2 separate regions of the Mus musculus genome follow, and region 2 is reported to be linked to region 1. Evidence: microRNA targets listed by miRTarBase, many of them from high-throughput screens and not tested one by one. Region 1 holds a microRNA gene; the other region holds the end of a gene's coding sequence.

Region 1 (5,000 bases):
CAACTGCCCGTATCCCCCCTTCCAGGGGGTCTGTGACTCCTGGTCTCCACAGGCAACTATAACTTGCATGCACAAAGCTACACACATAAACACATAATTGAAATTAACAGTGTTTTTAAAAAGGTGTGAGTTCTTGGCATCCAGTTCCTACCTACAGTTTGCTGCCATTCTTCCCCACCATGATGGAACTATAAGCCAAACAAGCCCCTCCTTGTATACGTTATGTTGGCTATGATGTTTAACCACAGCAGTAGAAAAGGAACACATAGCTGCATGATTGTTGAACTCCAAAGCCATGTCTTGGTGTTTCAGAACACAGGCATAGGGGTGATCTGGTCACATTCTTTGTATCTGTTTAATGTTTCCATTACTTCAGTCTAATTAACCCCTCTCTCCTACCAGCTACTGCTACTCTAATCCTAGTTTTATCCTGAGGGTTAAGTTTCCTCTGTTGTCATCATCCCTCCTGAATCTGCACCAACTCTCCCAAGAGTTTTTTGTTTTGTTTTTAAGGTTTATTTACTTTTTTATTGTGTGTGTGTGTGTGTGTGTGTGTGTGTGTATACCTGCATGAGTCTATGTGCACCATGTGTACAGAGCCCTCGAAGGCCAGAAGAGAGTGTCTGTTCCCTCTAGAATTGGAGTTACAGTAGTTATGAGCTGCCATATTGATGCTGGGAACCAAACCTCGTCCTCTGCAAGATCAACCAGTGCTCTTAGCCATCTCTTTAGTCCCATCCCCATTTGTAAATGTCTGAGCCATCTTGTTAGGCTCTTTGAACCCAGCCCAGCTCTAGATGTTGGGGAGAAAGAAACTTTTTTCCTAGGAGGGTTTGTAGTTTGCTTCATCACCTTCTGTAAGAGATCACTGCCTTCACTAATATCAGATGTGCTGCTGTACTTTTTTATTTGATCATTTTCAGTCTCCTTTGGCAACATTGCCCAGTCTCCTCTTTTTGCTAGGATGATAAAGCTACAGTGAGATCTATTCACTCTTGTCCTCCTAACAGTGAATATTGACAAGTGTTGAACTAATTAAATTTTTCTTTCCCAAACAGCTTCCTGTTGAGATTAGTTGACGCGCCCATTTAGTGTTCGGTTAAGGAAATTACTGGATTGGTTGCCTTGGCTACCTGTGCAGCTCTCCCCACTTCCAGCTTGAGTCTTCAAGAGGGAGCCTCAGAACTGATTTCTAAAACCAATTGTACTTGGTGTGATTATAAAGCAATGAGACTGATTGTCATATGTCGTTTGTGGGATCCGTCTCAGTTACTTTATAGCCATACCTGGTATCTTAACACCACAGATCATGCCTGTTGATCAACATTGTAAAAGCACAAACTTAAGGTTTCTAAATGGAAATTTAAACTGGTTTAGCATTCTTTTATGATTCTTTTTAACTCACTCACCAGAGGCAGATGTTAACTTAATAATGCTAGTTTTAATTTTGTTGTCTCCTTTTTGTTTATAGATTTTTTAAGCAAAAATAAACTGGTAAACTACTACTCTAATAAAGTGAATAAACCGTTTTGAATACAGTATTATGCAAATATATATTCCATTGAGCTATATTTTTTTCAAAACTTCTGTTACTGAGTTTCTGTTGTGTCTCATCTTGACTGCTAAAGGTAACAAGAAATCAAAACAAGTGTTTCTAATATTTGTTGACAGAGCCTTCAAAAGGTCAGGTCTGGGGTCTCTGCTTGCTGTTTTGAGAGGGTATTTTGTGTTTGGATGCACAATCCTCCTTCATACTCACAAAAGTGACCTTGGTGAGTAGCTGCTCACTCTGACTTAAAACAGGCCCTTGAAGCCATGTGAGAAAAGGACTTGAAAACACAACTGAACCATCCTTGTAATTAACTTATAAAAGTTGTGCCTGTGGGCAGAACTCTGAACAGCTTTTAGGAACTGAAGGTTTTAGGTATCATTATGGGTAGTAGTCCAGAAAGTTGAAACTTGGGCCTGCCTAGAGGATTTGAGTGCGCTGGGCATGGTTAAACAAGGTGGAAAACTAACATAAAACTCAAGTCTGAGGCTAGCCGAGGCAATGTGAGATGCTGGCTCCAAACTGGGTGGGAAAATTGTTGCGTTTGAGCTCCAGAAGTGCCCTGGAAGGAGCTTTACTGTAGACAGAAGACCAAAGTTAGTTTCAAAGGTTGTTGGTAAAAGATGTTGCCGTTCGGCACTTGTCACTCCATAGCCAAGTGTGTGCCCTAAGAAGTACCCTTCTTTCTGTTTCTTAGAGCAGTCCTTGCTCAGCAGTGCGTGTGAGGATGAGTAGTGCAAGGACCACCTGTTCAGACTGTAAATGACAGTGCTTCTCTGTCAGAACTTTCCAGATTGATTGCTATAGAAAGGTTTTCTACTGAAGACTTAACCTGATTTAGTCACAGGTGGCTGCTTTCACAGTGCTTCTAATGCACCGGTAAGGCAGTTTGTGCATTGTTAACACCACAGTTGCTTTATGCGTTACCTGTTTGGAGCACTGTACATGTTCTCATGCCTGTCAGTTTACACAGCTGCAGCCTCATGTCAGTTGAACTGGAATCTATAAACCTTAGTGAAAATTATGGTAATTTCTCTATGGAGCATATGTGTATATTTATTTGATGTGTCTATGAATTTCAGATGTCACTTTAGTCTGTGTATTTGTTTTACATTACAGGCACGGGAGATATTATTGCTGTCATGATAACAGAATTGAGGGGTAAGGATATTTTGAGTTATCTGGAGAAAAACATCTCTGTACAAATGACAATAGCTGTTGGAACTCGAATGCCGCCAAAGAACTTCAGCCGTGGCTCTCTAGTCTTCGTGTCAATCTCCTTTATTGTTTTGATGATTATTTCTTCAGCGTGGCTCATATTCTACTTCATTCAGAAGATCAGGTACACAAATGCTCGGGACAGGAACCAGGTGAGCTAACCAGTACTCTAGCCAGCCGTAATCCATGAGGATCTTGTGATAATACTTGTTTATGTCATATATTTAAAAACAAGACCAACAACAACAAGATAAAAACATGCCAAGTATGGTGCTGTACCCTGTAATACCTGCACTCGGGGTTTTGAGGCCAGTTGGACTACGCAGGCGTTCCAGGCCATATTCTATCTCAGTTTTAAAAAGAAAAAGAAATGAAAGAAAATGTTGTTCTACATAATCACACTGTAACTATCAAAGTCAGTAAATGAATGTCCTTTCAGTACATTTCCTGACCTATCGGCTCTCTCAGGTTCTCCAGAACTGCTTAGAAGTATCCTTAAGGGCAACAAAAACCCCAGATTAGTTAGGCCAGAATGTGTGTTACATTTAGTTGTGCTGTCTCTTTACTGCTTCCTGATACTGGCATCTCAGAAGAGCACAGGTCTGTGTCCTGTGTCTTGTGGTTTCGGTCAAGGTTGTTTGCATTTTGTCAGCATCACCAGCTCCTTTTAGTATTAGGGTAGTGGTAACCTTGCTCTTATTTATTGAAGCAATAGAGATCCATTTCCCAAGTGGTTGCATCTTGCCCAACAGTAGTGAATATCACAGCACAGATCCATGGCTGTACTGGGCCCACTGATGTCTTTAGAGCTGTCCTGTTTAATATGTGCTCATGGACATGTGTGCTTCTGTTCAACTCCATTACATGCAGATTCATGTACTCAGCACAAAAGCTGTAGGACAGGTTTGTTTGTTTGTTTGTTTTTTGGTAAGGAAAGGGTCCAATATTCTCTCATAGCCAGAGACTCTCCCTTCCCCTAACCGTTCAGCACCACTAACTTAATCTTCATCTAGTGCCATTTCAAGAGTGTTGAATAGACAGAGTGTACTTCACCTGGAGAGCTGTGTTTCTTCTTTGTTCAGCAGAGTTCCCTTGAAGTCCTTCCAAGCTGTACACATAAGTAATTTTCTTTTTATTGCTGAGTACTATTCCACGGTATGGATGTACTATAATTTACTTAGCTATTCACTTATTGAAGGATAGCTGAATAATTTTCAGCTAGGGAGTCTAATAAATTAGCTATGATGTTCATGTACTGGTTTTTGTCTGACCATGAGTTTTCATTTTCCTAGAATAAAAGTATAATACTGAATAAATAAATGTTTAATTCAGGTTTGTTGTTGTTGTTGCTGTTTTTAAAGTGTGCCCTTTTCCAGTGTGTGGCTGTTCCAGTTTCTCCACATCTTGACATGATTTGATAGAATAACACTTCTTTTGTGATTATAGTGTGCATTTCTCCCATTGTCACCTATATGAGCATCTGTGTGTGTGTGTGTGTATGTGTGTGTGTGTGTGTGTGTGTGTGTGTGTGTGTATTATGTCCACTGCACCCAAGTTTGTGGGTACAGAAATGTAGTTTCATGTCTTCATACTTGTATAGCAGGCACCATGCTGACAGCCATCTCCCTACCCTGAGCATATTTTCAAGTGCTTCAGTGAAATGTCTTGAGTCTCTTCCCTGTTTTCTTCCTGAATTCTTTGTCTTTTACTGTTGAGGATTTTAAATCCTTGTCTCTGTGCACCACTTGCATACAGTCACCTTGGAAAATAGGGAGAGTGTTAGATATCCTGGGGCTGGAGATACAGGCAGTTGTGAACCACCGTATGGATGCTAGGAATTGAACCCAGGTTCTCTGGAAGAGCAGCCAGTGCTCTTAACCACTCCTTACCATTGAGTTTTTAGACTCTTTATGTATTTAGATATGATATTTGCTATGTCTGATAATGTGCTTTAAAATATTTTCTTCCCAGTTTGTCTATTCAGTCACTTTAATAGTCTTGAAAAACAAATTGTTAAGGATTTTCTAATTTTGGTAAAGTTTAATATGAATTTTTCCTTGAAACTGTATGTTTGGTATCAATTGTAAAAAAGCTCTTTATCACACAAAGATTTTCTTTAAATGTTTAAAGCATTACATTTTAGATCAAGTCAACAGGTCATTTGACTGAAGTGGTTTCTCTTGTAATGCACACATTTTGTGCTATACATTTCTCTCTGCACTGTTTTAGCTCT
Region 2 (5,000 bases), not on the chromosome of region 1:
TCATTGATCAACTTTTAAACAATGAAAAAAATAAATGAATGGGATTGGGTCTGGAGAAATGGCTCAGTGGTTACAGACATTTGCTGCTCCCCAGAGTTTGGTTCTCAGCATACACATCAAGTGGTTCACACTGTATCTCCAGTTCCTTCTTTAGTTGTTGTGGTTTTTTCGAGACAGGGTTTCTCTGTATAGCCCTGGCTGTCCTGGAACTCACTCTGTAGACTAGGCTGGCTTCAAACTCAGAAATCTGCCTGCCTCTGCCTCTCAAGTGCTGGGATTAAAGGAGTGTGCCACCACCGCCCGGCTTCCAGGAGAAGTTTTATAAAACATGACATTAAGTGGATAAACATAAATGGACACAAATGTTTCATTTTACATTTTCCCCTTTTCTCATCAGAGTATTACTTTCTATAGTTATCACTTTGGCCAATAGTATAAAAAGTGTGGCACTAAGGGCCTTAGCATAATAATGCAGCATAGTGAGGATGCCCTCTTCTAGTTTCCTCAAGCATCTTCATGGCATACTCTAAAACACACACACACACGCACACACACACATACACACACACACGTGAACACAGAGACACATTAAAAAAAACTTAAAAATGTATAGGCCAGATATGTGGCGCAACCCTCTCTCTGAAGAGAATCCCAGCACTCTCAAGAGGCAGAGACAGTTCTGTGAGCTTGAGGCTAGCCTGGCCTGCATAGCTAGCTCCAGGACAGCCAGGGGGCTACATAGAGATTCTGTCTTTAAAAAAGAAAAATGGCAAGACTGAGAAGAATGGCTCAGCAGGTAAAGACACCTGGCTGCCAAACTGAACTGCCTAAGTTCTGTTGATTGGACTCACATGGAGAGACCTACATATGGACATTATGGGATGCCTCTCCCCCAATTAAATGAATGTAATATACTTTTTAAAGTTGTATGTTAGCCAGGCAGTGGTGGTGCATGCCTTTAATCCCAGCACTTGGGAGGCAGAGGCAGGCGGATTTCTGAGTTCGAGGCCAGCCTGATCTACAGAGAGTTCCAGGACAGCCAGGGCTATACAGAGAAACAGTATCTTGAAAAAAACAAAACCAAATAAATAAAATTGTGTGTTTGTGTATGAACACACTTGTCAGAGGACAACTTGCAAGAATTGGCTCTAGCATGTGAGTCTTGAACTCAACATGGCTCAAGACAAGATTTTCTGTAGGCCAGGCTGGCCTGAGCACTGGATTCTCTTCCAATGACCTCCCCAGTTCTAGGATTACAGATGTGTACCAGTACGCTCAGTTTATGCAGAACAGGAGATTGAACCCATAACTTGGTGCATGCTAGACAAACACTAGCTACTGTTCTAGTCATGTTAGATTATCTTTTTTCAACTATTTTAGGGGTGGAGAAATGGCTCCGTGGTGAAGAGCACTAACACTGGCTGTTGTTCCAGAAGACCCAGGTTCAATTTTCTAACACCCACATGGCAGCTCAACAACTGTAACTCCTCTTTCAGGGGATCTGATTCCCTTATCCATGAAGGAAACACACACACACACACATATATATATATTGCATTGCAGGTATAACTAACTGTACATGTTTGTACCTTGTGTCCAGACCAGAAGAGGCCATGAGATCCCTGGAACCTGAGTTATGGTCATGAGTAGAAGAAATTCAGGTGCAGGAATCCAAACCCAGGAAGAGCATCTATCCAGCCCCTCAACTTTTACCTTAGTTGTATTTATTGTCAATTCTAAGTTTCATAAGCCTTATGATGGTAATATGTACCAAATACCTATAATAGTGCCTAGCAGTCAGCACTAAACAAATGGTTGAATAATTAGATGGCAAATATTTGCAAATCTGCTGGATACAGGGGGCTCAACAGTTACCCAATCCTGGCTTTGCTGAGCCCCATTTCTTATCAGTTTGGTCTTGTAATGGCGTACATACAACAGTAAAAGAGTATGTATGATCTAAGACATAGAATTATAGGGTAACTGGTTGTTTTAAATCTTTTGGTTTTAAAGCAGAGTCTCATGTAGTCCAGGCTGGCCTTGAACTTCTGATTCACCTCCATCATGCTAGGATTACAGCTGGTTTTGATAAACAAGGGTGTCAGATACTAGTAAAGTATCAAAGGAATCCAGGAGTAGTGGTGGTAAAGAGACTGGAATGTCTATAGAGAATCAGCTGCAATGGAAGAGTTAGAGAACAAAGTATGCAGGTTGCCCATAAAGGAACTGAGATGGTGGAAAACCAGTACAAACAACAGTGTATGTAGTGCTTGCCTGTAATGGGGTGAGACAATGGGCAGGTGGCAGGTGTCTTCTTAGAGAAGTAACAGCAATAGAGTGCTGACAGTGGGAAAACTTTCCCATTCACCATGAACAGTTACTATCACCATGAGACACCAGAAGCAAAGTGCCTGTTACCCAAAGTGGCATGGTGGGAGAGTAAAACAGAACTATATGGAAGAATAAGGTGAATCCAACAGATCAGGCCAAGAAAAAAAAAGTATAGACAGAGAGGTAGGCAAGAGCATTCACTGCCTAGGGCCAGGAGAAAGCTCAGGAGGTAGAAGTGGAGACAGGTTGTGATGGGAATTATGCCAAGTTTGGGGACGGGATGAACTATTTCACTGAAGTGGAGAAGGGTCACACTCCTAAATAAGACAGAAAAACTGGTTCCCAGCTATGTTGGAGGCAGAAGTCAATGAAGGAAAAACTCCAGGATAGCCAACCAGGTTGGTGTTCCCAACTGTTTGGCACTCTCAGCTAAAACAATGAAGCACAGCTGCTGTGGGCTTGATGGAGCTGTTGATAAGCTTCCTGCTACTACCTGCACTAACCAATTACTCCTTGGCCCCAGCGCCAGCTCTTCTCTGGAAGGTATAAGGTCCAGGTAGCTCCTAGGAGGATATATGGGCAGACTGAAGCAGAAAAGAACACTTTCTTCTCCAGATATCCTTAGTCAAGTATATCCAAAAAAGCTGCAGTATGAGCCAGGTAGTGGTGGTGCATGCCTGTAATCCCAGCACTTGGGAGGCAGAGGCAGGCGGATTTCTGAGTTCGAGGCCAGCACAGCCAGGGCTGTACAGAGAAACCCTGTCTCGAAAAACCAAAAAAAAAAAAAAAAGAAAAAAAGAAAAAGAAAAGAAAAACCTTCAGTATGCCTCATGACATTGATGTTCCTTAGACTGGGTTGTTCAGGGCTCCTCAGCATGAACTTGAAATAACTGTACAGGCAATCCTGGTGCTGTGGGGAACTATGACTGTAAAGGTCAGCTTGGCCTGGCAGTGGTGGCGCACGCCTTCAGTCCCAGCACTTTGAAAGCAGAGGCAGGCAGATCTCTGTGAATTTGAGGCCAGCCTGGTATAGAGAGTGAGTACCAGGCCAGCCAGGGCTAAATAGAGACTGTCTCAAAAGACCAAAAGGATGGCCCAGAGTCTGGCTGCTTCAAACTGGGGAAGGGATCTGCCCAAGGGAGAATGCCCAAAACATGCGAACTTAGCACTTGCAGCCTGATCACTGTTTTTATTGATTGATTGACTGATTGTATGTGTGTATACTGTCACTCCCTTCAGACCCACCATTACAGATGGTTGTGAGCCACCATGTGGTTGCTGGGAATTGAACTCAGGACCCCTGGAAGAGCAGTCAGTGCTCTTAAGAGCTGAGCCGTCTCTCCAGCCCCCACCTGATCACTGTTAAGTGTATTCTTCATAGTGGATGGAGGCAGCTAGTAGTGATCATGGAGAAGACAGAGTTTGAACCCAGTTCAAGTCACTTAAATCATATTGACCCAGGTACTGGTCTGCATAACTTCACTGGTACCTCATGTCTGTTATGCAGAGTATATAAAAGATATCAATTCCCAGTTTTCTCTGCCCAGAAAGCTTATAGCTGGAGTAGCCCATTGGGGTACTTATTTGAACCAGAGAACTCTAGACATACTTCTTCCTTCCTTGGAGACAGCCAGGATGGCTACATCTGGGTAATTATCCTTTTATTGGGATTTAGGTTCCAAACAAGGTACAAAGCAGCGGTGAGAGGGTCTTGAGGTTGCTGGGTAATAGGGAAGGCCAGGCTTGGCTACATGGACCACTGCCTGAGGCCAAATGGAAACCAGGATTGGAAAGGATCTGAGGAGGGAGGACTGGGGCTTAGGGGAATGCACGGAGATCAGCGAATGGTATATCGGACATAAGGGACCTCGACGTCCTCGCCGCTTTCATCGTTGCAGCACAGCTCAAGCACCAGTGCCCGCACATGGCGGCCCAGCTTTCTCTTTGACACTCGGCTCACAATCTCTGTCATCCTAGGGAAAGGGGTGAGGGTAAGGGAAGAGGGCCAAGGAGGCAAAGCAAGAGGAAGGGGAGGTAGGTGAGGGCGGGGGAGGTGATGGGTAGGAGTGAAAGCTTCAAAAGCTGAGGCTCCCCACCCAACACAGGGCCCTTCCCAGCCTGCCTGGCAATAGCCTACTCACGGCTGATCCAATCGTTCCTTGAGCTTAGCAGCTGGCATGAAGAAAGAATAGAGCATGGACACGCCCTGGGACAGCATGGTGATCTCCAATTTGTGCTCTGTCTGGAAGGCAGGAGAGGGAATCAGCAGTGTTAGATGGCAGGAGGGCCAAAAAGTAATTTATCCATCTTGTCCTCCAGGTAAGGGGAGAGGGAGACAGGCCTTACCTTAAAGTAATCAAGGAACTGCTTGAGGGTCATCTCCTCACCATTAGGCTGCAGCCCTTGTACTTCAAAGCGATCCCACAATGTCCACTCTTGATTATAGTACTGCAATAAGAAAGAGAATAGGATGTGGTCCATTCCAGAAGTCCCTGCCCTCCCTGCCTTCCCTGCCCTGATGCATTCAGACCCAGTTAAGTTAGATCATAACCTTTTTTGTTCAAAGCCTTCTCATGGCTCCCATGTCACTGAGTAAACACTGAACCTTTACAATGACAGGTCGTATGCCACAAGGAAAACCCCATTCTCATCTTCTACCCACTATCTTC

Evidence for each region. The annotated mature microRNA mmu-miR-340-3p reads UCCGUCUCAGUUACUUUAUAGC and lies in region 1 at 1,260-1,281, shown strand. An mRNA with a match to its seed (bases 2 to 7 or 8) in the 3' UTR can be bound and repressed. Matches are read on the target gene's strand: a 7mer-m8 pairs with bases 2 to 8, a 7mer-A1 pairs with bases 2 to 7 and ends in A, and an 8mer does both.
Region 2: the mRNA of Uba1 is a reported target of mmu-miR-340-3p. Seed matches in the 3' UTR shown: 7mer-m8 at 3,665-3,671.

What each region holds. Positions count from the first base shown.
Region 1 is chr11:50,068,503-50,073,502 of GRCm38, forward strand. It overlaps Mir340 (microRNA 340), which reads left to right and starts at 1,200; the gene lies at 1,200-1,297. It overlaps Rnf130 (ring finger protein 130), which reads left to right. Exons shown (of 9, transcript NM_021540.4): 3 at 2,669-2,919.
Region 2 is chrX:20,681,682-20,686,681 of GRCm38, reverse strand. It overlaps Uba1 (ubiquitin-like modifier activating enzyme 1), which reads right to left. Exons shown (of 26, transcript NM_001136085.2): 24 at 4,678-4,779; 25 at 4,473-4,573; 26 at 3,503-4,304. The coding sequence ends at 4,169. Among named protein-coding and RNA genes, the nearest start is that of Cdk16, 4.2 kb to the left of the region's middle.